Linked DNA regions of Coturnix japonica. The protein of the gene in region 5 purifies or fractionates together with the protein of the main gene of each other region. This does not show direct contact. Links are inferred from orthologs where the notes say so. Each region holds a gene or a part of one and is shown on either strand. Other genes may lie near its edges.

Region 1 (4,488 bases), on a different chromosome or scaffold from region 5:
CAACCTGCCTGGTCTTATAAATACAATCTTCAAAGCAGATCCCATTTTCAAATAAGACTTCCTGTTTATTCAGATATGCTTCTCTCTGAATTACAAACCAGATCATTTCTGGTTTTAAGGAAATATCAATTCAGTTCACCTGTGGATGCTTTATAGTCACACTACAAGTGGGTTTAATGTAGCTGTGATTCAACTTCAGGAATCAAAAGTCTCAATGTACTGTATGAAATTATATATGGGTGTACACTTACTTACCTTGATGCCACCACATTAAATTGTAGCTGATTTGACAGTTGTAAATTTACAACCAAATTTATTTTTTCTTGTTTTTTTTTTTTGCTTAATTAACCTACTTTAATGAATTAAGATACATCTATGATTACCTACTGCTAAGTCTGTTCCTTCATAGCTTCAAGCTCAACGTGAACACAAACCATATGGAAGTAGATGCAGTGAGTCCTGTATTCTCTCCATCTTTGTTTCCCCCTCCTGTACTCAGAGCATTGAAATCTTTCCCAATCCTCATTTCAATCTTTTCAGCTTCAAAGCTTTAAATGTGGCAGATGTTGTTTCCATTCCAAGCTTTACCCTGCAACAAAAGCAAGAACAGAATTAAAGTCACTTAAAAAACCAACGTTCACGTGCATGTTATGGCTGAAGGTTTCAATAGAGAAAACACAACAATATTTTCTCTATTTTCAATATATTTGCAATATTTTCAATATTGTTTTCTCTATTTTTTTATTGTTTTTCTCTATTTTCAATAGAGAAAATAGCTTCTCCTATCAGCACTTCTCACAACACCTGGGTGTTACCTTAAAAGACATGAGTGTGATGCTAATTGAATTGATGCTAATTGAAGTACATTGAGGGCATATAAAGCCCAAATGAGCACTTTATTTACGGCCTGACCATATACTGCTCATACCCACACAACACAGGGAGCCTCACAGGCCGCCCTGCTCCCATTCAGCCCCCAAGTACCACAGCCACGCAGGGCAGCTTAGATACGATGGATATTACAGCTGGAGCAGGTGTTTCTATAACACCAGAGCCTTCTTAATCACCTGCTTCAGAACATTACAGTATACCTCCCCACCACAGACACAACACCTCGCTGCCACAGCAGATCTGAGGTAGATCTTAAGGCTGCCACCGCAGCCCGCCCTTCTCCTCAGCTCGAGGGCTCATTGGCTGAATCAGCAGTCAATCATCAATCAGGCCCCGCCCCCTCTCGGTAGAGCCCATTTTGTAGTGGGGGGGGGTGCAACCCCTCCTTTAGGCTCGAACTGACAGCGCCCGCACCGCGTCCTCCCCTCAATCCCCCCCCACACTTCAGGTGGTTCGCTCCCCTCTTCGCGCCTTCCGCGCGTAGCCCCGCCCCCTCACGCCGTGCCCTCCCAGGTGTGTGCGTGCTGCGTCACCCGCCCACGCGCACGGGGCGTGCTGGCGTCCGCTGCGCGCTCCGCGTCACCGCTCCTGGCCTGGCCTGGCGCGCGGTGCGGCCGGACGGTTCCTCTCTCAGCTCCTCCGGGGACTCTCGGTTCCCTCCTTCGGCTCCTTCCTCCCGTCGACTCGGAGCCGCCCGAACGGGGCGTCGGGGGATTCTTTAAAGGCCGGTTTTCCGGGGTGCGGCCTAGTGCTCGCGGCTGATCCCGCCGCTGTCGTAGCGCGGCGCCCGGGCTCCGTGAGGCGCGGCCCGGCCCGAAGCGCCGCTTCTCTTCTCTACCGCCGCCATGAGCGTGGAAGCGTACGGCCCCAGCTCGCAGACCCTCACCTTCCTGGATACGGAGGAGGCCGAGCTGCTCGGTGCCGACACTCAAGGATCCGAGTTCGAATTCACCGACTTCACCCTCCCCAGCCAAACTCAAACCCCGCCCGGAGCCGGGCAGGCGGGGCCCGGCCAGGCCCAAGGAGCTCCGGGAGCGGGGCAGGGCCCTGCAGGCCCCATCGAGGCCCAGGTGAGGCCGAGCCGCGGGGTGAGGGGGGGGAGCGGGGTGGGGTGAGGCGGTGCCGCCACCGGGGGGAGCGCGGAAGGGGCGGGCGGGTGTGGGGCCGAGCGGGGAAACACTGGGCGGGAGGCGGAAGGAGGCGGCGGGGCCTACGGTTAAATGTCGTGATAGTGTCGTGATAGTCGCGATATCGCCGTGCATATCCCGATAGTCGCGATATGGAGCGAGGAGCGCTGCCCAGGAGGGAGGATTTGGGTTTGTTTTCTTGTTTGAGTTACGAGGTGTTGAATGTTGTGAAAACGGAGCGTTCCTTCCCAAGAGATCCTTCTTGCCTTTTTGCCACCGGTTGCCAGGCGGCTTTGTTTGTTGGGGTTGTAGGGCAGTGACAGCCCATAGCGCCCCATTGGTGTTGGTTGGTGTGCGGAGCTGGTCGAGGCTGAGAAATAGGAGTATTCTTAACGCTGCCTGATGAGGGCCGCGTTTCTGGTTTAAAAAGTTCCCAGATGCGGAAGGAAAGAGGGAACTGGGGCCGTGCAGCCAGAAACCAAGAAGTGTTGTAAAAGGAAACGCTGCTTGATTGACTAAAGCAAGAAAAAAGAAGCCCAAAAACACCTGAGAGGCTGTTTTGTGCTCTGTTTAGAGCTGGACTGCTTTTGTATATCTTAGGATATATTGTTATATTAAGTGATCTCAGCGTTAACAATTGTTTGTAAATTGCGTTCCAGGATGTGCCTTTAGAGGAGTTGAAGTGCTGTAGATCAAAGCTCTTCATCCTGCTTCAAAAACACTTGGGGGGGGATTCAGTTCTTTAACTTCATTTTTCCAAGGCTGATCTGTAAATGACACAGAAATGAGCAAACTTAGAGCAGTGAATGGCTGGCAGCCTTCAGGTGTGCAGTGCAGGTGGGCCCAGATATGGTGCTGTGTTGGAACTCCCTTTAGGGCAGTGTTCATGGTGTGGAATTAGAGCTGAGCTCCCGTGGGCTGTTTGCTTTGTTGTGTGTTGACTTGTAGCTCTGTTGGGGCAAAACAGCCCTTTTTCCCGTTTGAATTGCAGTTGTTAAGCGGTTTGTTTGTAGTCAGTGTTATGTGTTAATTGATTAAAAAGATATTAGGATTGAAATCCTAGTTTTTAAAGCTCTGATCATTCCAGAACTCTCAGTATAGAGGTGCCTAGACAGAAGAGGAAGAAAAACCACCCCAAAATGAGTCTATGAGTGTAAAAGATGAGGCCAGAGGATTGCTTCTCTTTTTGTCTAAACATGTTTGAAAAGCCTTTGAAGTAAGAAGGGGAAAAAGGAAGATGTGGGGAGCACATCCAGGTATGAGCGTGTCTGTAAGCATCCGTCCTGGCAGGCAGGAAGCAGAGGATGTTGGTAATGGCTGGGAATGGCTGAGTGCTTTTAGTTCAGGGCAGAGTTTTGCAGTTATCCCCATACTCTCTGAATTTGGGATGGGGGAAGCTGTTCCAACAAGGACTCAGGAGCACAGTGAGTGTGATGTTGGAGCTCATTGTAACCCAACAGCCCCTGCTCTGTTTGGACCTTTGCTTTTCAATGTTCTCATCAGCACTGAGATCAGAAATAGACCATTTGAAGGATTCTCAGGGAGGTTTTACTACCTTGAATAGATGATGTGAGCTCGTTAATGCCTTTTGGAAGGAACACGGCTAAATTTAAGCCTCACAGGTTGCATACGTTTTTGCCTAGCTTAAGTTTTTACTGTGATTGTGAGTAAATCTTATCCTGATAAACATTGAAGGGATATTAACTCCCGTTCCATTTTCTGATGCCTTTTTTGTACCCTGTGGACTGAAATAAGATGAGTTGAGCAGTGCAGATCCCTTCATTTCTTCAGAAAATGGGGTTCATTGAACGTTGAAAGCTTTGTTCCTCAGCATATTCTTAACTAATAGCTTAAGAGGATGCTGTTAGCACAGATTAGTGCCTGAGTGACAAAAGGCAGGCAGAGGTTAAGCAGTGCAGGAGCAGCGCCTGCTGTTTTCTATAAGCAATGGAAATACAGTTTTCTGATGATTAAGACAAGCTAATTAGCATATTTGATTTGGATTAAGATAAATTCTGATCGTTTCCACGGCGTTTCCCTGCTCCCTCAGGCCAGGACTCAGCTCTGGTAAGGAGGAGGAAGCACATTCTCCCATGCTCTTGCTGTGAGTCCATTTGGTGGCTGCCCTGAGCATGGGGAACCGTTGTGAAACAGCTCAGTCTGTGCTGCTGTGAGGCTGGATGCTCTCAGTAACGCGCCTTCCCTTGTTTTGAAAGGCAGATCAAACAAGCACAGCATATTATAAGGCGCTGCGAATGTTACACAGCTTTAGAGGAGTCTCTACAAGCAACAAATAGTTAGCTATGCAAATCCAGAAGTGCCTGTTTTTCTAAAGCATGAGAAAAACTTACCTGAGCTGGGTGTCCTGTGTGTGCTGAGCAGTGCTGGGGTGCAGTGCCACAACTGAGTGCTGTGTTGTATAGCAAGATCCTGGCTGAATCCTTGCCTAGCTGTCATCGTTTCTTTTGCT
Region 2 (4,673 bases), on a different chromosome or scaffold from region 5:
CAAAATGCACATCTGCTGTTCCTAGACTGCGTCCGGATCTGTCGTAGTGCACTGCTGCCTTCTTCAAGGTCCCAAATTCCGCAAAGAGTTCCTGAGAAACAGAGGGAGAAGTGAATATGCTTCAGTCAGCTCTGCAAACACCGAGCAGCCCAGAGAAGGTGCAGGCAGCTCCTGCTTTCAGCAATATCATGTACATTCCATGACACCACGCAAATAGCACCAGTGAAAGAAGGAACACAGGCCACTAAAGACTTCCAGAAAGCAGCCACAGGTGGCAGAAACAAACAGGATTTCATATCCACCACTTGAAGGGTGCTTGTATACAGCCAACAAAGTGGCCCCAAGGTATGCTGACCTGCTCCTCTTCCCAGGGACATTGCCAGTCTGTATAAACTGAAAGCAGGAAATCTTCTACTGAAGAGCATCGTTTACCATCACGAGCGATGGAAGGCTGCAACAGTGGAGCCACCCATTTTGTTTCACAGAGGCTACATCTAAGATGTACATCTGGGGACATCTCACTACTTTGCAAGTTTATACCTACACCCCACTCTTCAAATGTTTGAAGCACACAGAATTGTCAGGTGTCCAAAGCAGACACCACAGGCTGCCTTCCATATCACCTGCAGCAGAGCCCAAACACTATTCCAGCCATCTCTATAATTCCTATCCAAGCATTTGAAAGGAGCATATAAATATTTTCACTTCTTAAGCCAGCTGCACTTTATGCAAGCCTGTCAGTGAGTTTCTCTACTGTGTCCATTTACTAAACATGAACATACAGCACCCAACAAGCTTTCTGGAAGACAGCACCACATGGGAGGAGAGGTGCTCCATCACATCCCTGTCCTGCAGAGAAGCTGGAGCCACAGCACCACACATACTCCTACAAGAGCAACGTGAACGAGGCTCCCACCAAGCCCCTCATTCCTCAGCACTGAGCTGAGCAGAACCATATTAATGACACAATCAGCACAGAAACAAAGAAAACAATCAGTGCAGCTTAGTGGAAAATTACGGGATGGGCAGTAACAAAGAGGTACAAACCCATTAAGTCAGCTTTGCTGCTACATATAATATACACAGATGTTTGTCTGCTCCTGCAGTTCAAGCCAACTGTGAAAAGGAAACATTCAACTGCCACACAAAACACATTAATTCCTTACATTGAGATAACTTTACAGATTCACTTTTACACGTTTGGGCCTGATTACAGCAAACAGGAAATGTATATCAACTGAAACTAAACTCACTTGAGGAAAAAACAGTGGTTTTAAGTGCATCGCTCAATAACTAGGTGACCTAAAAAAGCTCACTTCCAATACTCCTGATGCAGACAGGTTGAACCGGAATGAATTAACAGAAGAAAACATAGAAGTGATTTAGTTATTTTTTTCTAGAGGAGATGCAAGGACCAGAAACCATCCAAAGCTCTTTGCAATGTGACTAAGTCAGGAAAACCCTTCAGATTGGATGCTCCTTGGATCTGCAGATGTTTCTGCACAACTTGTTGCCCACAAGTAAGAGCAGCCCCACAGCTGTGACTGCTGTGTCACAGGCACAGTGACTGCAAACAGCCTGCACCCAGGGCACAGCTGGAACAAGGGATTGAGCTGCAGCTGGTAACTCAGCTAGAACATTTATCTGTCATAAGATACATGTGGTAATTGTGGAAATGACAACATGAGCGAGCAGGTACCCCCTCACAGACCAGACTTCTCAATATCACTGGTGCTTCTATAAGAACACCTTGAGACTGAACAAAACTTTAACAAAAAGTACATAAACAGGTACTATGAAAACAGCGCCAATAGATGTATATATAGAGCTACTGAACGTCTGGAATTACACAGACCTTAAAAGCTCACACAGCCTGTGCTAAGCTCTGCAATCACAGCAGGACTGAGCGAAGGCAACATCCCCCCCACAGCATCGTGGTAGAGATATTTCATATGTGATTACCTACAGCTCCATAAAGACTGGGACTCTTCTGAATCCAGCCACTCCAACTGCTCAGCTCAGAGCCCCAGCAGTGCGTGAAGCAAAGGGCCAGGCACCGTGTGAAGGGCCCTTCCAATGGGAGCAGGGCCAGCAATGCTCTATGGCCACCCCCAGCACCCAGCACCGATGGAATGAATGAAACCCCCCGGGAACAGCGCCGAGCCCGTACCTGGATATCCGCATCTGAGACGCCGAAGTCCAAGTTGGAGACGAGCAGCTTCCCGCCGGTCTCCACCCCGGCGCCGGCCCCGAAGCCGCTGTCGAACAGATCGTGCTGCCACTTCTCGGGGAGCTGCTTCGGCTGGAACGACACGGACGTTTCGCTGAGCGCCGCCGGGTCCCGCCGGGACGGCTCGACCGCCGGCAACGGACAAAGGGCCGCCCGTCCCACCGCCCCCGCCCCGTCCACGAACCGCCGCCCCCCGCCCCGCACACCGGCCCCCTCCCTCCGGGCCCCGCCGACCGGGCTCCGCCCCCGCCCCCGTCCCGTACCCGGCTGTACGGCGCGGGCCGATTCCTGCCGCCGCCCCGGGCCATCACCGGCCTGTTCCTCACGGGGCCGCCGCCCGCTCGCCCGGCTCCCACGCCGCCCCGACCGGGCCCGCCCCCGCGGGTGACGCCGCCTCGGCCCCGGCCTCCCCGGCCGCCGCCCCGACCGCCGCCGCGTTGGCTTCGGTTGAGCTTAATGATATCGTCCAGGGACATGTCCATCTTGTCGGCCATGATGGCGGCTCCGCTCCGGGGCCTGCGCTTCCGGCCGCGCTGCGCCGACGCCGGAAGCGGAAGAGGCGGGACCGGCGGGCGGAGGCGCGCGTTCAGATTGGCGGGGCCTCGTGGGGGCGGCGGGCGGTACTTCCGGCGGGGCGGCGCGGACCGGAGAGCGGCACTTCCGGCGGCGATGAGGGTGAAGGTGCGGAGCTGGAGCGGAGTCGCCTCGTGGCTGTGGGTGGCGAACGACGAGAACTGCGGGATCTGCCGCATGGCCTTCAACGGCTGCTGCCCCGACTGTGAGTGCGGCGGGGCCCGGCACGGTACCCGGTCCGGTACCGGGTATGGTACTCGGTATGGTACCCGGTATGGTACCCGGTCCGGTACCCGGTATGGTACTCGGTATGGTACCCGGTCCCGTACCCGGTCCGGTACCCGGTCCCGTACCCGGTACTGTACCCGGTATGGTACCCGGTCCGGTGCGACCCGGCCCTTCCTGACTTTGTGTCCACGCCGCAGGCAAAGTGCCCGGGGACGACTGCCCGCTGGTGTGGGGGCAGTGCTCGCACTGTTTCCACATGCACTGCATCCTCAAGTGGCTGCACTCGCAGCAGGTCCAGCAGCACTGCCCCATGTGCCGCCAGGAGTGGAAGTTCAAGGAATGATCCTCCCCGCCTCCTCCCGCCGCTCCGGTCCCGGTTCCGTGGGCGGGGAGCGGCGCTTTCCCTCGTGCTGCGCGGCGGGGGCGGCCGCGGCCATAAAGACCCGGAGCGGCCGTTCCGCAGCGCTGCGCCCCCGCCGGCACGATGCGAGCCGCCCGCTGCCTGACTCTGGCTGTAGCCGTGATGCTGCTGTGCCGCCCCGCCGCGCCCTGGTACCGGCAGGCGGCCGCTCCGCTCTCCTACCCGGTGGGCAGAGCCTCGGGGCTGCTCTCCGGTCTCCGCCGCCTGCCCTACAGCCGCCGCTCCGACAGCAGAGGTGCCGCTGCTCCGCTCCGCACCGCGGTGAGTACCGGGATGCTCCGCTCCAGGAACGGGCTGGTACCAGGAATGCCCTGATTCCAGCAATGCCCTGATTCCAGCAATGCCCTGATCCCAGCAATGCCCAGATCCCAGCAATGCCCTGATCCCAGCAATGCCCTGATCCCAGCAATGCCCTGATCCCAGCAACGCCCAGATCCCAGCAATGCCCTGATACCAGGAACACCCACCTGCCCGGCTCCGCGGGCAGCCCTGCTCCAAAGTTCCCACCCAGGAATCTCTGTGATACTTTCCCCACAGGTGCCGTGTGTGATGGATGTGGACCCCAAGCTACGGAGCTGTCGGCTGCTATCGGGAGTCCCCGGTGCTCTGCAGTGCAGTGTGGCTGTAACCGTGTCCTTGGGCTCCACAGAGTGTGGGGGGGCCTGAGGTGGCACGGTGACTATAGTGACAATAAATGCACGTGGAATGGAAAGATGTTGTCTGTCCTTAAGGGGAGGGAAGCCTTTGGGGTTGGGGGGAGCCCACCAGGATCTGGGGCACACAGGGGTGCCCTGAGCAGCAGTGCCCACCCAGAGCTGTGTGCCCTCTGGAATGGGTGGGAGTTTGGGTAGTGCCACAGGCACTGGGGGATGGAGCACAGCTTGGGGCCCCACTGCTGAGCTTAAGGTGAAAAAAAAACAGTGCAGGGAGAAGGAATCCATTGAAATTGATCTTCCAGTGCGTGGAGCAGCCCAGCTCTGAGCACAGTGCCTGTGAGCAGAGCTGCTGCAGTGGGAAAGTCTTCCACATGGCTGAGGATGAATCCCCTACCCCTCCCTGCCATGTCTTCAGTTCTCTGAGTGATACAGGAGACAAATCTGAAGCTGGGGGGTGTTGTACAGGTCAGGGTAAGCCAAGCTGAGGAAGGATTTTACCCTGGGGTGGGAGATGCTCTGGGCTGAGGTCAGGGGAAGCCACACACTGACCCCCAGCAACACCAGC
Region 3 (3,883 bases), on a different chromosome or scaffold from region 5:
ACTCTGGTGATGGGATTAATTTTTATTACTGCTGAGACATAGAAATGTGATACCACAAGTGTTACTGATGACTGCAGTAACCTGATTTTCTGGATCAAACAGCTCCAGCAGAACTGGCTCACTGTACTATTCTGTGACTTCAGAACCTTTCTGGTGCTTTCTGCTCAAAGAAGCCAGATTATTTAGTTAATAATTAACAATCATCTGTATGGTTGCAACAAATTTGTGTGGGGCTTCATTATGAAAACTATAGTGAAGAGTTTTTGTTTTTTGCATGAACATTTGACTAAAAGTTGTCAGGTTACCTTTGAGACTTTTGAAGTAGGGATCTGCTCTGATTTCATTGGTCCAAAAGAGTGGTTTTACTCAGAGATACAGTTTGTGTTCTGTGTGTTTATTTCTGCCTACTCAAATCAATTTATCAATTTAGAGCCCAAACAGTTATATTCCAATGGAGATGCACCTCGCCTATGGAAGGCTGTGTCAGAGGCAGATGTATGCAGCAGCTGGAGTCTTGGCTCAGATCTAGTAATTGGATAACAAAGTCCTGAAAACAAACAGGATATTCGCTAAGAAGCTTTAGCAGACAAGACCTCCTTTTTTTTCCTGTTTCTCTGTGTAAATCTAATTTGGTTTCTAAATATTTCTGTAATCTTCTCTGAATTTAAAAACCATAGCAACGGTAGTTTAGGTGAGAACAATTTGAAATTGTTGATAATCCTTGTTTGTAATTCATTGAAGTTAAAGTAACTTTTTACTGCTGCCATTCACAGGTTTTCTCTGATATTATATATACAGTAGCAAGTTGTACTGAAAATGAAGCTAGTAGATATGGCAGGTTTTTATGCTGTATGCTGGAGACCGTGACTAGATGGCACAGTGACAGAGTCATATATGAGAAGGTATGTGAAGCTATTAAAACTTGTTTGTTCATGAAGAGTTATATAATGACTTCTTGTATAATACACCCCAGTAAAACCGGATTCACTGAAATCATTAACTTGATTTAAAATGTTGTCGTTTGATTTTTATTTTTTTTTCCAATGGCCTTATGTTAGGATGGGGATTTTGTAATCAGTGTGTTTTTAACAGAGTTAATTTTGCATAGCGCCAAAAGGAAAAGAAATGAATTTTGATTTTCTCATAGTTTTTCTTGAAGATTTAGGTAGCATATGGAGACTCCTTGCAAAAACTAGTTAAATTGCAAATAATCCTTTTCCTCACCCACAAGAAAGGCTTCAACATAAATAAGCTTTAAAAAAGAAAAAAGAGGATATAAGTCTTACAGAATCTGTCTTAGTCTGTATGCCAGGAAGTGCTTTGATTATATTAACTATTACAACATTCTTGGTTTTTTTTTAATGTATCCTGGAAAATATTTGTATTTTAAATAGTAAATTTTTATTTATCTTGTGCACACATAGGAATGTGGCAACTATCCAGGTTTCCTAACTATATTACGAGCAACTGGATTTGATGGTGGAAATAAAGCTGATCAATTGGATTATGAGAATTTTAGACACGTGGTACACAAATGGCACTATAAGTTAACTAAGGTAATTAAAGATGCTGAAAAATGCAATTCTTTTTTTGAATCTTTAATGAAAAGGATTGATGAGTTTTAATTTGTGTTCTAGGCTTCTGTACACTGCCTTGAAACTGGTGAATATACACATATCAGAAATATCCTGATTGTGCTGACCAAAATCCTTCCATGGTATCCAAAAGTGTTGAACCTGGGCCAAGCCTTGGAAAGAAGAGTACATAAGATATGTCAGGAAGAGAAAGAGAAGAGACCTGATCTATATGCATTGGCTATGGGGTAACAACACCTTACTTTAAGAAAGTGGTTAAAAGTGGATCATGAAAGGCTTCTAAAGACTTGGAACTCTTACAGTCCTAACATATTTGATTTTTACCTTATCACAGAAGATTTCACTATCCCGCATCTCAGGGCTGGCATTGTGAATGAAAACTTTCATGTCGTGCTGGATGAATACTAATTTCATTTTCAAGACTCTAGTAAAATGCATTTAATAGTAAAGATTTTCACTCACAAGAGCATAGCTGCGTTATAGAGAGATAGTATAACAGCAGATAGATACAAGGGGGAGTAAAGTGGAGAAAGCCAAGGGCTATTGTTGCAAGATTGCATAATTTGGAAGATAATAGAGTTCTAAAATGCTTGATTAAGTTTTTCATATGCCTAAGTGCAGAATCATCTATGGATATTTGAGTGGTAGTTAAGGTTGTGCTAATAGTGGGCTATTTTTTTGTGTGTTTGGCAGGAGTGTGTGTGTGTGATGGTGGTAACAGCAAAGAGGGCTTTGAGGTAGGGCTGCTTCTGTTGTGTGAGGTTTTATTTTTGTTTGTTCTTTTAATTTTTTTTCCTTTTTTTACTTTGAGTTGAATGATAAAGGGGGAAGAAACTGCATATCAGTTGGGAAAAACTGTGAAAAGTAACAGACGGAACTGTTAGATTAAGTCCTCATTTAAAATTCAACCCATATTTTGCTTTGTTTGTGCATATTTAACAATCTGTGCGACTTGCAGCTATTCTGGGCAGTTGAAAAGTAGGAAGCCTTTTATGATACCTGAAAATGAATTCCACCACAAAGACCCACCTGCCAGGAATGCTGTAGCTGCAACAGTACAAAATGGGCCAGGTGGTGCTGGGATGCCTACATCTCTCACAATAAATACAGCGAAACTGGAGGAAAGCTCTGCTGAAGAGACTGGTAAACAAACTTGATTCTTAGTTGAATGATATTTACAAGCTACTGTCTCAAAACTTGTTAAATTGAAAAGAAAAAAATCTCTGTGAGCTTAATGTCTGTGCATTATATGTTCTTTGTGTTGTTGGTGGTTGATTTTTGCAGGAGTGTAGTCTGTGTTTACCTCTTTAACTACTAGTTAAATGTAGTTTTGCATGAATTTGTGTTGGGATACTTGTTTTTATTATTGAGACGTATGTTATTGTAATTAAGTTGTTTTCTTTCTTTAAACAGATAAACTAAAGGAGAAGTCTCAGGGTACTGTGAAAGTCATTAATAAAACTGTCAACACTACACCAAAGGTGACAACAAGCAATGGAAACAGTGCTTCTAATAGGTGAGAAATCTACTCCTTCCTTGATATGCTCTATTGTCTTCTTTGAAATTGACCTACCTTTTCAGTCCTTTCATGTGCTGTTTAACTTTTTCCCATTACATCAGATTTTTGCCAAAATATATAGCTGTTCTAAGCTGATGCATGTATAAAATACATTCTGTTTTAGTTAAGTAATGAAAAACAAGATAGTACTCTTGTTGATGTTCTGTTGAAGTGACAGCAAAATAATCTGGCAGTGAATGATTGAAGAAGTTCTATCAAATCGGGAGTAAGACTTGCCTATAACGCAAGCTAGTTTTTTGTCTGCTAATTGGCCTTTTTGTTTTTGATGCAGCAAAATTATTAAAGAGAAAGATGATAAAGAAAAAAGTGGGAAGGAAAAAGAGAAAGAAAAGAAAGAAAAGATTCCAGCTACCACTCCAGAGACGAAGGCACTTGGGAAGGATGGGAAAGATAAACCAAAGGAAGAACGGGCAAACAAAGATGATAAGCCAAGAGAGATTAAGGAGAAAACACCGAAATCTGACAAAGAGAAGGAGAAGGCCAAGAAAGAAGAAAAAGCTTCAAAGGAAGAAAAATCCAAGACAATTGTTACAACCATTGAGTCAAAGTCAGTTGCAGAAAAGGAGAGAGAAAAGGAGCCATCCAGAGAAAAAGATGTAGCAAAGGATATGAAATCCAAGGAAAATACTAAAGGAGGAGAAAAGATTCCAGTAGCTGGGTCCTTGAAGTCTCCTGTTCCCCGATCAGAAGCATCAGAATGTGAGAGGGG
Region 4 (4,682 bases), on a different chromosome or scaffold from region 5:
CAGTTCCTCCTTTCGGTCAGTCTTTTTCCAAGAACCGAGAGGTAGTGCTAAGAGAGATGATTTAATGGAAAGGTCATTGTTACTTGTTGGGGCATTGAGTCAGTTTTGGTCACTAGAGAATGCTCTGGCTTTCCAATTCCATCCTTCCCAAACTACATGCTGTGTAATCAGTCAGTGCTCAGTGTGGGGACAGTGGGAGGTGGCAGAGGTGGTAAGTCGGCCTGTTTAGGTTAGTAAAGACAAGGAAATGGTAACTAGGGGATAAAACTTTTCTTCCCTTTCATAAACTTCTGGGTCAGCCCTTAGACGCTGTGTGTTCCTCACCTTCATAGCCTGACTGCTTGTCATCTTAAGGCATGATCAGAAACCAGGGGAACAGAGCCCAGTTTCATTATTAGTGACCACATTCTACAGAGACGGAGCCTCAATTGTGCATTAATGTCCTGGTTCACAGAGAAAACACTTTGAGGATGCAACTTTATAGAAACCACTCTGCAAAAGTCCTTCCCTGGGACTCAGCAGCTGTTCCTCCATGGAAGGACATTACAACTAACCAGCACGTTCACGATAGTTCTGTAAGGCACCAAACAGCCTCTGAGACCAATGATTTCATGTCATTCTGTTACAGCAACTCTTCAATATCTGTACTTTAACTATTTTGCCAAGCTCCAAAGCAGTTTCACTTTTGAAAAGCCTTTATTTCCTTCTGTCTGCACGTAACTTCCTCAGCAGGAGTAAAATGTTAACTGCACAGATTAATCAGTCAAAATTCACAGTGCTTCACCTCTAGTTTTCACTTAAAATAATACTTAAGCTGTTAAACTTTTGTTTTTAGGTGTTCCTTCCTGGATTCTCTTCAAGCTCCATCCCTTCCAGGAGCACAGCTACATGTCTCTCACCTGTGCTCCCACAGCTGACCCGACACTTGGCTCAGCTCATTGATCAGAGGATCAGGCTGTGGTTATCAATATCCCATATAGACACGTAAAGAAAATATCTTCCTTGTATACCAGACTGCAACGCGCAGGAGTTACAGCTGTAGCTTCAAAAGATGGTTTATATATTGGTAAAACAACAAAAGATGGTTTATATATTGGTAAAACAACAAAAGATGGTTTATATATTGGTAAAACAACAAAANGTTTATATATTGGTAAAACAACAAAAGATGGTTTATATATTGGTAAAACAACAAAAGATGGTTTATATATTGGTAAAACAACAAAAGATGGTTTACATATTGGTAAGATGAGATATGCTGATATATTTATGGAGACTGAATATACCAGGCACTACCCTGAGCAGTAACTTTCTAACTTTCATTATTAGTTCAAGTTGTGTTTCTTTGCTGCTACAATACAAATTCAGGGAAGACTTTCTCCAACTGCCAACACTTTGTGCAGCACAGAGCTAATATTTTTGTCATTAATATTAATTATTATTATCCTGGCAGGCCACAAGGAGCTAACACACAGTGTATTACTACAAGCTCTGGGTGGTTTCATTGCGATTAAACAGCGATACCAGCCCCCCCCGCCCCGTGGCTCCGCTCAAGATGGCGGCTCCGAAGCTCCTGGAAGGGCTCCGTCCCCTCCCCCCCCTCCCCGTCACCTCACACGTCACGGCGCCGCTCAGCTCCCGCCCTCTCCCTCCTCGCTCCCATTGGCCGCCTGCCGCGGGCTGCTCGTCCAATGGTCGCGCTGTGCCGTGCGGCCCAGAGCGAGGCTGTGTGTCTCCCCTCCCCCCGCTCTGCCCGTCCCCGGCTCCGGCTCGTTCGGCGCCCGGCAGCGGCAGCGCCGCCCGCAGCCCGCACAGCGCGCACAGCCCGCACGGCCCCGGCAGCGCCCACGGCCCGCACGGCTCCTACGGCCCCTTCGGCCGCTGCCGAGAGCGGCCCGCGGTGGGTCGGAGCTACAGGGCCACGGGTCCGGGAGGAGAGAAAGGAGGAGGAGGAGGAGGCGGAGGAGCAGCCGCGCTCCCTCCCACCTTCCCCCCCGCCATGGCCGACAACGAGAAACTGGACAACCAGCGGCTGAAGAACTTCAAGAACAAAGGCCGTGACCTGGAGGTACCGCCCGGCGGGAGGGGCCGCCCGGCCATGGCGGCGGGAGGGACGGAGGGAGAGAAGGAGGGAGGGAGGGAGAGGGGGCCGCCGTGTGGCGTCTTTCCTAATCCGCCGCCGAGGGGCCCGCGTTGGGGCCTTGGCCTGCACCGCCCGCACGGCGAGGGAGGGCCGGGAGGAAGGGGAAGGGAACGGAACGGAAGGGAAGGGAAGGGAGAGGAAGGGAAGGGAAAGGAAGGGAAGGGAAGGGAGAGGCCGCGCTGCGCGCTCGGGTGCGGCCGTTGGGCTCCGCTGGGGGTGGAGGCGCTGAGGGGCAGCGCGGGGCTCCATGAACGCGCCGGGCCGGGCCGGGTCCCTGCGGGCGCTGCGCGACCAGGCGGCGCTGAGGCCCCGCGGCTCATCTCGGCCATGGAAAACATGAGTCAGGGCCGGGCCCGCGGAGAAAGCGGCTCCTCGGCTCCGCTTTGTACCAAACGTCGTTTTAAATCACTTCTTGTTGTTTCTTTCCCTATCCGGGGCACATATCGCTCTCGTAGCGCTGTGTGGAAGCAGTCGTGGGATCAGCGTGCCGTGCTGAACTTGTGGGTGGGTTCCTCCATCCCTGTGTGTGCTGCTCCGGGACTGAATTAATGGGGTTTTCTGCAGCAGATATGCAGATCCTGGTGCTCGGTATCAGTCTCGCCCATCACTCCCGGCCCTGGGGGAGGCTCTGTGTGCTGATGGCAGTGTGAGGCCGTGGTTGAGCTCAGGGCTCTGGCCTTCACATTCTCTTGATGTTTGGCCCCGCTGCGTGTCCCTATGGTTACAGTGACATGACATCCTGGGCCTTCTTGTGCATTGCTGAGTGCCCCGTTCATCCACATGAAAAGTAAAGGCTGCATTTATATCGCTGTCACTTGCGAAAGCATCACCCGTGTTTCCCACTCGAGGTATCACTGGCTCCTGTTGGATCAGGCAGTTTATTATGGAGTTACAACATCCAGTGGTGCCAAAAAGAGGTAGAAATGGGAACAATTGCCACAGTGACTGCGCTGTTGGTAAACAAAGATGTGTCCATGGCTCCTTGGCTCTGTTGGTAACTCCTGCCTCAGGTATTTTTTTGTGTATGAATGTTTTTTTATTGCTGAATAAAAAACTGCAAAAGGAGTGAAAGTTTGGGAGGACACTCAGGGAAATCTATGCTAACATTAAAATGAAAGCAGCAGCGGGGGGGATAAAAACAACACAGGAATTCATTGGGGTTTTCTGTCCTTTGGTGCCTCCATGCTGGGGGTTGAGGCAAGTCAGCTCCGTGCTCAGGAGCATCACGCCCAGTGTGTGTTATTGCAGGTGTTTGTGAATGAAGGAGCAGACAATCTCTGGTCCTTCTCTGAATTTGCTGATGCGTTTCAGTGTCCTGCGCAGTGAAAGCAGCACTCCCAGGCCGTGTTAAATTTGAGATACTGACATCTACCCAACGACTCTTGGAACTTACGTTTGCTGCCTAAAATAACCGCTGTGGATGGTTATTTTTCACACAATAGCTCAGGCTCCCAGCTCTGATTCTGATTTTCTCCCTGCTTACACGCTGTGTTTTGCGTTAGAGGTGAGGTATTGCCAGGCCCTCTCACAGCTCAGTATCCTGTGGTAGCAACAGTTGCTATTCAGCCGGTTCATGGCACGTGTGTTCCTGCCCGGCTTTAGCTGGAAAATGTCTATTTACTTCACACTGGCAGCCAGTGTTTGATCGTTATCTCTTCCCCTCATCTTGCCTCCTTCACTCCTCCCCCATTTAACCTCTGCTCAAACCGTGCTTTTACCCATCGGTTTTATACTCAGCACTCGGGATCTTTCTTTTCTATGACTGTTTGCCTCCATTTGCTGTACCAAACAAACCACCAGTTATGCTGGGTATTATTTTGGGGGATGCCGAGTTACTGGGCAGCTCTGGGGGTAGATGCAAAGTGCAGACTTGAAAAGAAAAGAAGGTTTTTGCTTATAGTCACTGGGCTGAGCATGGCGAGGTGTTGAATAGGAGCTGATGCTGTCTGTGTGTTCAGCTTCCAGCTGCAGGGAGGTGATTGTGCCTTGCAGATCACGGGGGATTTCCAGCGTTTTCAGAGCTGCTGAGTGTGTGTTTGACTCTTTGGATTCTTCACACTGGTTTTATTTTCACTTTCCAGGCTTTCTCAGTGGGCTTCTGAAGGCACAAGGGCTGCCCTTGAAGAAAGGAAAACAAAAAGACGCCTTTTACATAATGATATTTAGCATAATTCCTTCATGCACTGAAGTATTGGGTAAACATGCGTGCACGGGCATGTTACATTGTAAACAATTGCCGCCACGTGTTTTAAAATGACAGATGGGTGACAACAGTAGGAATAGAGGGGTTCATTGTGAGCAGGAACACAAAATGTTTGCTTGTTCTGCCTTTTATTTGTAGTGCTGGATAAAGGAATCGTAGAAGGCTGATGATACTCGGTATCTGAGGGTCCTGTGGCAGGAGAGATCAGTCTGCAGCCAGCACGCAGGCAGGAGCTCTGTAGCAGTGAACATTGCAACTTACACACACATGGAGCTGTGCAGCTCTTCTAGGGCTGGAGTGTCAGCACCAGAAAGGAGGAATTGCACTTTAGTGGCT
Region 5 (3,883 bases):
TCTTCCATAGAAGATTCTCCCAAGATAGAAGCACACAGTGCCATGGCAAAATGGGAGTGTGATTATTCACAACATGGATAGTGCTTAGGAAAATAAATGTAAAATTGTTTGCCAGCTCCCTTCTCTGCCTTGCATGGCCTTATTGCCAAATCTTTGCCATGAAATGAGTTAAAACCATTGGTTATCTCTACTGCTTTATATGTAATACTTACAGTATCAACTTTAAATAATTTGCAGATGAAGGATTTACTTTCAATCCTTTGAAAATAGAAGTCTTTGTTCAGACTCTGCTCCATCTAGCTGCAAAGTCTTTCAGCCACTCCTTCAGCGCCCTGGCAAAGTAAGTGTAACATGTGCACTATTTGAGGGTTGACAGAGCTGTTTGGTTCTAATAATGAAGTGATGAAAAAAAAATTTAAAAAAAACAATTACCTGCAAGCTTCAGCAATGTTTTAGGTACTTCTCAATGCAGTAGGACTCTGAGAGCTAGTGGCACTTTTACTGAAGGAACAGAAATATTGTTAATGTTAAATGAAAGATATGGAGTTAACAGAAAGGTATATGTCATACTGAGTTTAATACTTTGTGCTTTGGAGATATTAAGTGTTTATGACCCAGGAAGGCAGTAGTCAGATGCACTTCAATGAATTACTTTTCTGTTCCTCAGTAAAAGTATGTGATTGATACAAAAACCTGTACATGGAAGCATTTTACAGGCATGCTTAAAATAAACTGCAGGTGCTAACCTGCAGTCAGTAGTATAAGAGGCAGGCCGAGGTGAGTACATTTTGCCCCAGCTGAGCATAGGTAAGCACAGGAAGCATTTCTGTGTGCCTTGTACTTCTAGGAATAGGACAAATACAATCCTCCTTCCAGGAGAAGATTCACCACTGAAATTTAAGCTACTTTTAGGAGTATATCTTTGTTAGTTCAAATGTTCCAATGGTTATATTTTCCTGTTAGGAGTTGTTCAGGAATTGCTGTATAAAGTCCCAAAACTTTCTTTTTTGGACAATCTCAGCCACTTAACTCATGTCAGATAGCCTTTTGACCTGAGCCCTGCTCCTCCACTGACTGATATACGTCTGTTAAAAGGTTTCATGAAGTCTTCAAAACACTTGCTGAAAGTGATGAGGGAAAACTCCATGTTCTGAGAGTTGTGTATGAGGTCTGGAAGAACCATCCACAGGTGAGGCGTTACAGTGTCAATCATTAGTTGAGTTTAAACTCTGAGGTCACGTTAAATAAAGCATTACAGTTTGCTTTTTATGTACTTTAAAACTTTCTTTGCCTTATATCAAGGAAAGTTCAAGTTCTGTTTGCCATTGCTAGAAGTGTTTAAAGTGAAGGTTGGAGATAAACTGCCATATAGTATATATTCTATTTCTCAGTGTTACTTTTGTGGGAGAGCAAAGGCTGTGTCATTCTAACTCGGGTTCATGCTGTGCTCTTTGTCATACAAGAGAACTTGTTTCTGTTCAAAACTGGAAAATGGTGTTGATGCTTAGAATTGAAATAGGATGTTGATCTTGTAACAAAAGCAGGCCAGATTCTTGGAAACGGGGAAACCTGGTTGGCCTTTAGGCTTTTTCCACTTGCTAGCAAAAGCTAAGCAGTTACTCCACAGAGATCAACCTGAAGTTGCTGTTGCATATGGGCAGAATGAGCAGAGCTGCAGTCAGTAACTGTTCAGAATGGAGCAGTCAGACTGCAGAGGCATGATTGCATTCATTCTTGAATCAGAGCACCCTGGAAAGCCTATGGAAAACACCTCAGCTATTTAAACAGTTATGTTTCTTCACAGCAGTTGTTTTCTCCCCCAGCTGTCATTCTTCTAAACATAGAAATAAAAATGAGGAGCTCACACTGAATTTGCCTGTGTTAACTCTGTGTTCCTTACTGATGCACTTGAGTTACATGGTACTGTATTAGAAAGGGGAGCATACCTCACGGCTGCATTGTACAGACATTAAGAAACAGTTCCACTGTGAACAGGGGATAATCCTTGCATCTGCTGCTAAATCTATGGTCTGTTTTCCATGTTTCCTAAAGGAAATTTAGTGCCTAAAAGACAAGTGGCACCTTGTATAGATATCCTTCAAGTCCACTTTTTAAGTGTGTGTGTTATATGTATATATATCAAAAACTAGTGTTTTTTTAAATATATTAGATTTCTTGCCCAAAATACTGACCTTGAAAATGTGATGATTACAATCTTGACCTCCTTTTACTTTAATTGGATCAGAAGAAATTACATTACCGCAGTCTAATGTCCATATTCTTTTCCTCTTTGTTCCTTTGTACTGCAGTATGACCAAGCTGTGGTGGAGGCTTTAAAGTCATAATGAACAGTTAGGTCAGATTTCTATGAATAAACTGAAACTGTGTTTAAAAGAATACCAAGTGCTGATGTTTTGAAGGCCTTGACCATGGAACCTAAATTTCCTTTCCTGTATGTACTGTAGTTGAGTCTTTTGCTGCTGCTCAGGTGCTGTCTTGTCTGTGTCCACAACATCTCTGGCACACTGGCACTAGTAGAGCCAGTTTCCTTGAAGGAAACTACTCCTGTTCACCCTACTCTGCTGTAAATGGGAACATCTTCTGGTGTCCTTTAAGCTGTCAGTGTATTGAGGGCCATGTTGCAAATGGTCATTTTGGTAGTCACTGGTCTAGTTTAGTGTGGTTGTGGTGGTGACTTCATAAGGAGAAGTTTTGACACCAAGATGAGATGTTTTCCCCAAAATCCTAAGCTTGTTCCTTGGAAGATCAGGGGAAGTAATCAGAGATTCTTCTTGGCATTGCAGGAAGACACACAGAGTATAAGATGCTATCCTGGGATGTGAAAGTTGAGTCCTGAGTCTTCTGTATGATTCATTTGGTTATTTTAACTTCCCTTCCTTAAAAGGAGCTTTGTTACACTTCCTTATGTGTCAGAGGGTCGTTGTGAGGATAAATGCATTGCAGGCTGTGGTTCTTAGACGTTGTGACATTCAAGCACATGAGTAACCAAGATAAGCCTTTTTTTCTGAACAGCTTGTAACTGCTTTAGTCTGCAGCTCTTCTCTGCAGTTTCCTTCTGGATTACTTGCAAAGCCCCTGGAATCATAGCACTACCTGCAACAAGCACTTCAATATTGGCTCTGTCCTAAAATGCAATAGTACCTGCAGGAAAGAGGTTACTGCCATATTTGAAAACTACTGCGTCTCAAGGAGAGTGTAGGCCAACAGCTGCTCTTTCTCTTTGGTGATGTGACAGTTGTGTATGCTCTGGTTTGAGTACCTTGATGTTCTATATTTGGAGCTGTGTCTGTGCTGCTTCACTTCCAGCCGTGATGCTTGTGTTTTTTGTTTTCAAAAGGTAGTTATGCTAATGAAGAACGATCTGTTACTTTCACAAGGAATAGAAGAAACTGTTAATCAAAATAAGAATGCTTGCTTTAGGTAGTTGATACTGATCCTTTAAGTAGCTTTAGGCTAGACAAACCAGATGTCATTTTTAGACAGCACTGGTTTTCTGAAGACTTTAAAATCACCCAGTAATACTGCTGTTGAGTTCATCAAACTGTTTCTGGTTTTATGCAAGGCTGGGGTACCTGGGCTGGCTTTTCTTATCTTGGTAGAAATGACAGTTTTGTCTTTCACAAAATACAGATGATCGCTGTGCTTGTGGACAAGATGATTCGGACACAAATCGTTGACTGTGCTGCAGTAGCAAACTGGATCTTCTCCTCGGAGCTTGCACATGATTTTACTAGGTAACATGTGAATTTGTCTCTGAATTAGTGTTTCAAGTGACCAATTTACAGCATAATCTATGAAAAGTAATGCAAGGAAAGGGTACACTTGACCTTTAGTCTTTTCTACAGAATATGTACAGAACATG
Region 6 (3,883 bases), on a different chromosome or scaffold from region 5:
GAAAAATGCTGTCACTGATTTCAGGGCCACCCCTTTGCCCTGCTGCTCGGCTGGGTCCTTGCTGGACTCCCACTTGTAGAAAGCCTCCTCCTTGATGACGTCCTCATCATAGAGAGCATCGAAGAACATCCGAAGCAGGTCTGTGTGGAACAGAAGGGAAAACAGACACCCTCTGTTAGCAAGGACACACCTGCCACCCCCAAAACTCCCTACATCATCCATCCCTGTGCGTGACACTCACTTGGAGGCTGGTCCAACTTCACCACCAAAGCCTGCAAGGCGTAGAGTGCCTGAAGCTCCTTCTGCTCATCCCGCATGTACTTCTGCAGCAGCTTGGCCCGGTTGCGGATCACCAGGGCATCCACACGGTACGGGTTCTCAACTGCAGGAGAGTAGGTGTGAGAGGGGGCTGCAAGGGCTTACCAGGCCCCCACCTCCCCCCAGTACTCACAGATGATGGCTGAATGGCACACAGATGTCATCAGGGCCCTGATAAATGTGTTGGACGAGACCTGCTGCTCACTTAGGTTGGCCTGAAGGAAGGAGGGAAGGGTTATGAGATGTGAATTGAGCAAGGAGGATGCCTTGCAGGCGTTCTGCCCTCACCCTCACCTCAATCCAGTCATATATTCTTTGGTTGTTCGAGTTCTCCTTCAGCAGTTTGTCCATTTGCTTGCACAGCTCCTCCGAGGTCAGCTCCTTGCAGCTTGGCGTGTCCGAGTTGTCTCCCATCGTGTACTCCAATTTCTGGGGGACACAAGAGAGATAATCTGTTAAATGCTATGTAGGGGAAAGCTGCTCCCAGCAGCAGGGTCTGGGAGCCACAGTCCAGCTCTCACCTGTTCTGTGACGAATTTGTTGACATCCTGGTCCTCAGGCAGGAATTCCTTCCAGCTCAGGCCCCCATCTCGCCACAGCTTGCCCGCAGTCTTCTGGCTCTGCAAGAAAACCTCAAGTCAGCCCTCAGTGCCACTGCTCCCCATCCTGCAGCCAGCTGCCCCAGTTACAGCAAGAGGCATTGCCCACCATCATCCTCTCTGTATGCAAAAGGGTTCAACCCCTTCCATGAGCCAGCCCCTGGCAACTATGCGAGCAGCATGCACTTACCATGCCCTTGCACAATAAGCCCAGCACCTCGACCAGCAGTGTGGTGGCCTTCCCAAGGGGCACCAGGGGCTTTGTTATCTCCCTGTGGGGCACAAGCAACATAGTTGTCACCACTTGCCCCTACCAGGACCCCACAGCAGCCCTGAAAAGGAGTACAGCCCCTACCTGAACAGCTCCTCCATTGGGATGCCTTCCTCTTGCAGGATAGGTGTTATGAGCTCGGCGAGATACAGCCAGATGTGCGGGATATCAATCTCCATGTCTTCCGCAATCTCCAGGATCTCCCGCAGCCTGGAGGGCAGAAAGGGGGTATTGGGATCAAGTAATTCCTGCGCCCTCAGCTGGGAGGAGCTTTGGGAGAGTTGAATTCAAAAGCAGGTCAAATGATGCTTTGGGGACAAGCTGCCTCAGCCCCTCACCCTTTATAGTACTGCTCCTTGGAGAGCGTGCCAGCCTTCACCAGGTGGCACAGCAGGATCCCCATGTGCTCGCGGGAGATCGTGCTCCGCTCAAGCGTGGACTCAATGCCATTCCGCACGAAGACGTAGAGCAAGGAGGGGCTGCCCAGCTCCTGCACACACTGCAGGGCCTCCTGTGGGGACAGAAGGGTCAGTGCTGCCCCATAGCCAGCCCCTGCTCCTCATCCTGGCACTGCCAGCAACCTGTCCAGCAGCAGTGCTGCCTGGAGAAGCAGATGACATCCTGCGGGTGCCTGGCCACCTCCTCTTCTCACCTTCATATCATTGATGTGCAGATATTCCTCTATGATCGCCTTAGATTTCTTCTCCAGCTCCTCCTCTGACAGCATGGGTTTGGGCGATGCCGCAGGAGGTGCTGGCTCTTGTTTAACTGAGAAGAGCAGAAGGATCAGGCGCCGCTTGGGACCAGCAGAGCCTCAGCCCACAGCCAGACTCCAAGGACACCTCTCCTCCCCAACTCACTTGTCTCTCGGCTCCTGTCCCGTTCCTCTGACATACTAGCAGTTTTGCGCACAGCCTCAGGGCCACTCTGCTTTTCCCGTTCTCTACTCCTGTCCTCTGTCTCTTTGCTGAAGCTCCTCTTGGTGACAGCAGACCTGTTCCTCTCTCCCCGCTCACCCCGATCGGGACGCTCCAGACGGTCGCTGCTCTTCTCTGAACGTGACTCCCGGTCCCCTCTGTCTCCAGCCTTTTCTGACCTGTCGCGGCTGGAACTGCTCCTGGGTGGAAGGAGGAAGAACAGTGTGAAAAAGTCCATTGCTACACTCCTCTGACCCCAAATTCTGCACAGTTACGCAAGGCAACGCTGTCCTACTTCAATTCTCAGCCCTCTCCAGTTCCTCCTCTACTACTCTTCCCTCATGGGAACACTCCCTGGTCCAAAGCCCCACTGCCATCCTTTGCTCTGACCTTCAGCAACGCTGAGGGCAGTCGGCCTCCATTCTCCCCACACCACCCCTTGCTGCAGTAGGCTTATTCCTTCTCCTGACTGAACAAATTCAAGTGTCTGGGATCTTGCACTTCAGCTCCAGCTACCCCCAGTGGTCTTTGTAAGAAACCCCCGGGCCCATCCCTGGATGTCTATTCCTGGTAGCCCCAGACTGCACACAGCACCCAGATGTTGTCCTCCAAAGTGCCAAGCTACAGCAGAAAGATCTGCCTTCCCATTTCTGGTGGTAATGGGGCTTGTGCAGCTCAGAACAGGGACTGCCTTTCCCACAAGAATGCAATGATGCCATACCAAGCCCATGCCCACAGACCCATCCTGCCACAGAGAATGACTCCAGCCTGGACATCAGATTCCATTTACCCACACACCAACCGACCACTGCCCAATCTAGGGAATGTTCCCCAGCCCACCAGGTGCAGCACACTCACCTCTGCACCACGCGACGGGACTCTGAACTCTCGGCAGGGGTGGACTGTTGGAGTGCTGAGAAGCGATTCAAGGTGCTTGTGGCCGGTCGCCCTGAATCAGATGCTGGGCGTGAAAAGAGGGGAGCCTCAGAGTTCGGCATATCCCCAGTACAGGAACCACTGGGAGAAAGGGTTCCCATTCCCATTCAGTGGCACCAACAAGCCGGCCCCATGCCACCTACCTGAATCTGCAGGCTTTGCACCAGACCCTCCACTACTGCCTTTGCCCCAGCTCAGACGCCCGCCTGGCGCAAAGAGCTGGTTGTTGGAGTCGATCAATCCAGGCTGAAGGCAGAGAACAGAGTCAGCTCCGAGCCCTGCACCAAGACTGTGGGGCAAGGCAGCCCAATGTTCTCCCCAGCCTCACCTTGGTGATTTTCGTTAGCCGGCTAGTGTCGATAGGCCGGTTGCCCTTGCTGATGGGCACAGTGTTCCAGCCATCATCTGCAACCAGGCTGCTGCGTCCACCTGGTCACAAGGGGACAGAAGTCAGGCACAGCCCTACCTCAAGCAGTGATAGGGTAACCAGTATCTGGTGGTCCTAAGTCACTCACCACTGATGGATGGTCCAGGAGGTCCTCTCCTTTTGTCTTTTGACATGAGCTGCTGCACTTTGATGTGTTCCCGATGCTCCTCCATCTCTGCCTCTTTGTGGATCTGGTCGATGGTTTTGGGGCCCTGATCTCCTCGCCGTGGCACCCAGCTATTCTGCAGAGGGCAGAGGAGCAGGGCATGGGGTACTCAGACAGCTGGAGGACGGAGGCAGCGACATTTCCCCCTTCCAATCTGTCCAGTCCCCAAGGCCCACCCACCTCAGCTCCCTGTGTGCTGTGGCAGCTTTTGGCACAAAAGGGCTCCATTTCAGGAGCTCCCTGCATTAA
Region 7 (3,883 bases), on a different chromosome or scaffold from region 5:
AAAGGCGGTGTCTTCATACAGAACTGCTGACATCCCAGAGATAACAGCTCTGAGAAGTTCTTCTGTACCATGCAACAGATCACTGTTCTATTTTTTAAACAAGATTAAGCAAGGAAGAAGCAGATTATAACATACCTTGTTTATCTTCTCTTTTGGATGTGTCAGGAGGTTTGGGAAGTAAGACAAAACATCACAGTTGAGAACAACTTGTGTCTGTTCATCGGTACCAGTTACTATGTTGCCTACTGCTCTCAGCGCTGCTGTCTGAACATGCGAAGTGGGAAGAGAAAAAAAACTGTGCGTTAAAAACGTTGCTGTTACTTATGTTAAAATAAAGATAATTTAAAGCTTCTCTACAAAAACACTGCAGAAGAGTGTTTAGCACTACAGCTTCTGAGCTACACTCTAAAGCAGGCACTGTTTCATCCAAACAGAAACACAGAGTCCAGTATTTTACTATAAAGCACGCTGCAGATCAAATCCTGAAGTTTAAAGATTAGAAACTAAAAAGAGATTAGGATAACAAAAGAAATAACTCATCATGTATCTGATCTGAATTACAACCAACATATCTAGGCCTTGACTATGGCTGTTGTGTGCCTTTTAATTCAGGTCTCTATTGCAGAATAAAGAAAAAAAGACTACTTATATTCTTATTTACTCTCAGTTGACTTTCAAACATGTGCATTATACCCTTAGGAATTAATAAACGTTTTGTGGGTGATTGAAAACTGGAGAGACTCCTTTCCATCAACTGAACTGGTCTGACAAAATTTGAGCCAGGCAACCCTCATCCAAAGTCCAAACTAAACAAATATGGCAAACGCACAGATACACGCAGAAGCTTCCACAGTCCAACGGTTCATTTATAAAAACCAAGCACTCATTAACTAACTTAAAGCTTCCCTTTGTGTTAAAAATCAATGAACCTGCCTTATGTGGAAAACTGGGAATTCACTAAAAATACTCAAAGATATTAACATTCTAAAAGGCTGTAGTACAATGGTCATTTCAGAACCCCAGTAGTAAATACTCCAAGGTGTAATTTATAAGCAAACAGGTTACAAAGGACTATGCAAGGAAACTGAGGCAGACTTACTTGAACTTTGACCTCCTGATGACTCAGAAGGGGAACTAGAAAAGGTACAACTCCTGAATCAATCACCATCTGTATCTGCTCGTTGCCACCGTCTGTTAAGTAGGACAAAGCCCAAACGGTGTCCACAAGTATCTGAAAGTTGGAAAGAACGTAACATCATTTAAACACTAAATAGCAAAATTCATAACACTGAATCTTAATTTAGCAATAATTTTCCACATGTCTGGGTAAAAAAAAAAAAACCTTACAATTTAGTTACAGGAAAAACTCAAATATTTCAATGCAACCTTATGCATTAAATGTTGGATTATTACATACAACTATGAAAATTGGGGCCATTTGTTCAGTGATAATAAGTTCTACATCCTCTTCCTTTTAATTGACGCATTTTGGTGCACAGTTACAGCACACATCACCTGACAAAGGTAAATTGTTGGCTTTGATTTGCACTTTGGAGGCAGATGAGTGGCTCAGTGAAGTAACTGAGCTAGTAACTTTCTGAAGACAACAGTGACTCAACTTCTTGGCCCTGCCCTCATCTGTTAGATGTACTATCTTCTGAATACATAAGTTAAATGTCCTTAGACTTTAAAGTCATCTAGCTACACTTTAGTGCCTTTGATCCACTGTGCAGTATGGAGTTAAACTACAAACTATCCTTCATATTGAGATTTAAATCTACAGCAAAGGAAAGAACTTTCTTATACCAGCTAAATGACTAACACTTATTTTAAGGTGGCAACTGTTCAAGAGAAGGGAATAAACACAAGGAAATGACTATCACACAGGACACACTTAAAGAAAATAACAGTGAAGTCACTGGTGATTTGGTATGGATGATTTGAGAGCCCTCCGAAAGAAAAAAAAAGGAAAGGTACAAAAGTTAGTTATTTTAAAGGTAGGGTTTGAAGCAGAACCAAAACTAGCAGAAAAAGAGGTAATGTCCTGTCACTTGGAGATGATGTTAAGAACTGCAGGAAGAGAAGCCTGGATGCTCCTGAGGGCATTTCTAAGTCAATTTCTCATGCTAACTAAAGCAAAGCAATTACTCTCCGGAATTTTAAGACTAAAGCCTGAACTCATTGCACCTAAGTGAAGTGTCTAAATTAAGAGCACAGTAAGCCTACTCTGCCAGTTAATATTCTGTGTGCTAAGACATCTGTTCTATTCTGTGAACCGAACGACCTTTTGGATAGGGCTCTCATCTGATTCACTAGAAAGAGGTTAGAGCAATAGGCTCTAAATCCAAGCATCTTACTTATGTTCTCAGGTTAGATGGTCTGAAGCAGTGTTTGAAGGCTTCGTAGGCAGAGTTTGTGCCCAGAGTGTCTCATGGTGAGCAAAAAAGTGGCCCAGCTCACTGAGATTTAAGGAAGCATCAGATGAGAATGGCTCAATGTGGCATACCCAGAGATCTGTGAGCCAGCTTCATCTCTCTGACAGCTTAACTGAAAGAAACCTCACCTGCTATTTAGGTAAAGGCATCTGCACTCTACTTTTCAAACAGAGCCATTCAAAATTTCCAGCTATTAAGACAGCTAATTAGTACTAAAGGTGTGAGAAGGGCCTGCCCCATAAGCCTATGGTGGGTGGCTTCCACCCACCTCCAGAGAGCAGACTGCATGTACTTACTGCTCTCCTGATGCAGCCTGCTGCTGCTCACACCTGCTGATGCCACAGGGACAGCAGAACGTGCTGCAGTGGAGGCAGCATCACAGCAGAAGCAGTGAGAGATGGTGCCTCACCAGTTTCCTGCCCCACAGCCCTGGTGATGATGAGAGCAGCAGCTTACAGGACTGCCTGCTGACCCACCTGCATCACTAACTCATCACCAAAGAGAGGTTTGCTGCTCCAGTACTGAGAGGCTGGGACCATACTGGTATTTCCAGCCAGCACCTGACTCTCAGGACTCATTGAGACCAGTCAAAACCTGGCACCACGTAATTCCACATATCATTTAAGAAACCCTCACAAAATCATTTCTTGCAAAAAGCTTTCAAATTTGCCAGGAAAAAAAAAACAACAAACCCAAACCAAAACAACAGCAACAAAAAACAACCGAAGCCTGTAGGCTAGAAGTATTTTTGGTTTGTCCAAATTATGGACTGTAAAGTCATCATGTGCTGTCTCCCACTCACATTACACTGGGATAACCCTGGCAAAATCCCAAATTAAACTGCAAATATTTGTGGAATGACTACACCAGTAAAAGAGCAGCAGAAACACCACTACTTTATCAAAGAAATAACCTAAGGCATTTCCACCAATCTCATGCCCTGTCCACAGACCTACCAAGGTGTTCAATTTCTGCTTCCTTAAATTGTGGTGCTGCTACAGGGAGCAACAATTCAAGACATTACAAAGTGCTGATAGGAAGCAGAGCAGAAAAGCATCTCAGTTATCCCTCAGGTGTACAGATCTTGTTTCCCAAAGTTACAATATAAGACCTCAGGAGGTCAGACCACTCTCTAGGACTTTGAAACTGTATGCAAAAACCATGGCGCAGGAGCATGGATATTTAAATACTTTTAATAGTTAAATATTAATATATGTAAATACATTTTCCTATGTGATTTTCTCAGTCAAACAGCTTGCAAATTCAGGCATCCAACAGGTTACAGAAGTTAGATTTATCCGTAAGATCACAGTATTTGACTGGACTGATACACAGAATTATACATTACATATCAGAGTGAATAGCCTGAGTTGGAAGAGACCCACAAAGGATCATAGAGACCAGATCCTGGCCAAAAAAAGGACTAAGCAAAATTTAAGCCTTATTAT

What was found.
Region 1: the proteins of NCBP1 (region 5) and UPF1 purify together in Homo sapiens (co-immunoprecipitation; 3 studies listed by BioGRID and IntAct, with this or other methods). This does not show direct contact. The link is inferred for Coturnix japonica from reciprocal best matches to the Homo sapiens genes NCBP1 and UPF1.
Region 2: the proteins of NCBP1 (region 5) and ALYREF purify together in Homo sapiens (affinity purification with western blotting; 6 studies listed by BioGRID and IntAct, with this or other methods). This does not show direct contact. The link is inferred for Coturnix japonica from reciprocal best matches to the Homo sapiens genes NCBP1 and ALYREF.
Region 3: the proteins of NCBP1 (region 5) and THOC2 purify together in Homo sapiens (affinity purification with western blotting; 3 studies listed by BioGRID and IntAct, with this or other methods). This does not show direct contact. The link is inferred for Coturnix japonica from reciprocal best matches to the Homo sapiens genes NCBP1 and THOC2.
Region 4: the proteins of NCBP1 (region 5) and KPNA4 purify together in Homo sapiens (co-immunoprecipitation; 3 studies listed by BioGRID and IntAct, with this or other methods). This does not show direct contact. The link is inferred for Coturnix japonica from reciprocal best matches to the Homo sapiens genes NCBP1 and KPNA4.
Region 6: the proteins of NCBP1 (region 5) and EIF4G1 purify together in Homo sapiens (affinity purification with western blotting; 3 studies listed by BioGRID and IntAct, with this or other methods). This does not show direct contact. The link is inferred for Coturnix japonica from reciprocal best matches to the Homo sapiens genes NCBP1 and EIF4G1.
Region 7: the proteins of NCBP1 (region 5) and KPNA3 purify together in Homo sapiens (co-immunoprecipitation; 3 studies listed by BioGRID and IntAct, with this or other methods). This does not show direct contact. The link is inferred for Coturnix japonica from reciprocal best matches to the Homo sapiens genes NCBP1 and KPNA3.

The regions. Positions count from the first base shown.
Region 1 is NC_029543.1:2,812,377-2,816,864, reverse strand, and holds the start of UPF1 (regulator of nonsense transcripts 1), read left to right. Parts: upstream 1-1,471; 5' UTR 1,472-1,736; coding exon 1,737-1,961; intron 1,962-2,575; exon of another isoform or gene 2,576-2,785; intron 2,786-4,369; exon of another isoform or gene 4,370-4,488. UniProt on the Homo sapiens protein: RNA-dependent helicase required for nonsense-mediated decay (NMD) of aberrant mRNAs containing premature stop codons and modulates the expression level of normal mRNAs.
Region 2 is NC_029533.1:4,444,950-4,449,622, reverse strand, and holds the start of ALYREF (THO complex subunit 4), read right to left. Parts: upstream 2,815-4,673; 5' UTR 2,725-2,814; coding exon 2,494-2,724; intron 2,303-2,493; coding exon 2,171-2,302; intron 92-2,170; coding exon 1-91. Other genes in the region: ANAPC11 (anaphase-promoting complex subunit 11), read left to right, coding at 2,900-3,008, 3,229-3,374; NPB (neuropeptide B), read left to right, coding at 3,516-3,713, 3,990-4,118. UniProt on the Homo sapiens protein: Functions as an mRNA export adapter; component of the transcription/export (TREX) complex which is thought to couple mRNA transcription, processing and nuclear export, and specifically associates with spliced mRNA and not with unspliced pre-mRNA.
Region 3 is NC_029519.1:14,685,173-14,689,055, forward strand, and holds part of THOC2 (THO complex subunit 2), read left to right. Parts: intron 1-773; coding exon 774-902; intron 903-1,424; coding exon 1,425-1,556; intron 1,557-1,637; coding exon 1,638-1,822; intron 1,823-2,553; coding exon 2,554-2,738; intron 2,739-3,008; coding exon 3,009-3,111; intron 3,112-3,445; coding exon 3,446-3,882; intron 3,883-3,883. UniProt on the Homo sapiens protein: Component of the THO subcomplex of the TREX complex which is thought to couple mRNA transcription, processing and nuclear export, and which specifically associates with spliced mRNA and not with unspliced pre-mRNA.
Region 4 is NC_029524.1:19,641,579-19,646,260, forward strand, and holds the start of KPNA4 (importin subunit alpha-3), read left to right. Parts: upstream 1-1,763; 5' UTR 1,764-1,999; coding exon 2,000-2,068; intron 2,069-4,682. UniProt on the Homo sapiens protein: Functions in nuclear protein import as an adapter protein for nuclear receptor KPNB1. Binds specifically and directly to substrates containing either a simple or bipartite NLS motif.
Region 5 is NC_029547.1:62,558,694-62,562,576, reverse strand, and holds part of NCBP1 (nuclear cap-binding protein subunit 1), read left to right. Parts: intron 1-237; coding exon 238-340; intron 341-1,095; coding exon 1,096-1,189; intron 1,190-3,651; coding exon 3,652-3,755; intron 3,756-3,883. UniProt on the Homo sapiens protein: Component of the cap-binding complex (CBC), which binds cotranscriptionally to the 5'-cap of pre-mRNAs and is involved in various processes such as pre-mRNA splicing, translation regulation, nonsense-mediated mRNA decay, RNA-mediated gene silencing (RNAi) by microRNAs (miRNAs) and mRNA export.
Region 6 is NC_029524.1:13,924,860-13,928,742, reverse strand, and holds part of EIF4G1 (eukaryotic translation initiation factor 4 gamma 1), read right to left. Parts: intron 3,711-3,883; coding exon 3,557-3,710; intron 3,471-3,556; coding exon 3,370-3,470; intron 3,288-3,369; coding exon 3,185-3,287; intron 3,067-3,184; coding exon 2,964-3,066; intron 2,306-2,963; coding exon 2,049-2,305; intron 1,957-2,048; coding exon 1,841-1,956; intron 1,700-1,840; coding exon 1,527-1,699; intron 1,399-1,526; coding exon 1,273-1,398; intron 1,190-1,272; coding exon 1,108-1,189; intron 939-1,107; coding exon 840-938; intron 748-839; coding exon 613-747; intron 534-612; coding exon 452-533; intron 383-451; coding exon 242-382; intron 141-241; coding exon 1-140.
Region 7 is NC_029516.1:151,466,090-151,469,972, forward strand, and holds part of KPNA3 (importin subunit alpha-4), read right to left. Parts: intron 1,232-3,883; coding exon 1,100-1,231; intron 265-1,099; coding exon 136-264; intron 1-135. UniProt on the Homo sapiens protein: Functions in nuclear protein import as an adapter protein for nuclear receptor KPNB1. Binds specifically and directly to substrates containing either a simple or bipartite NLS motif.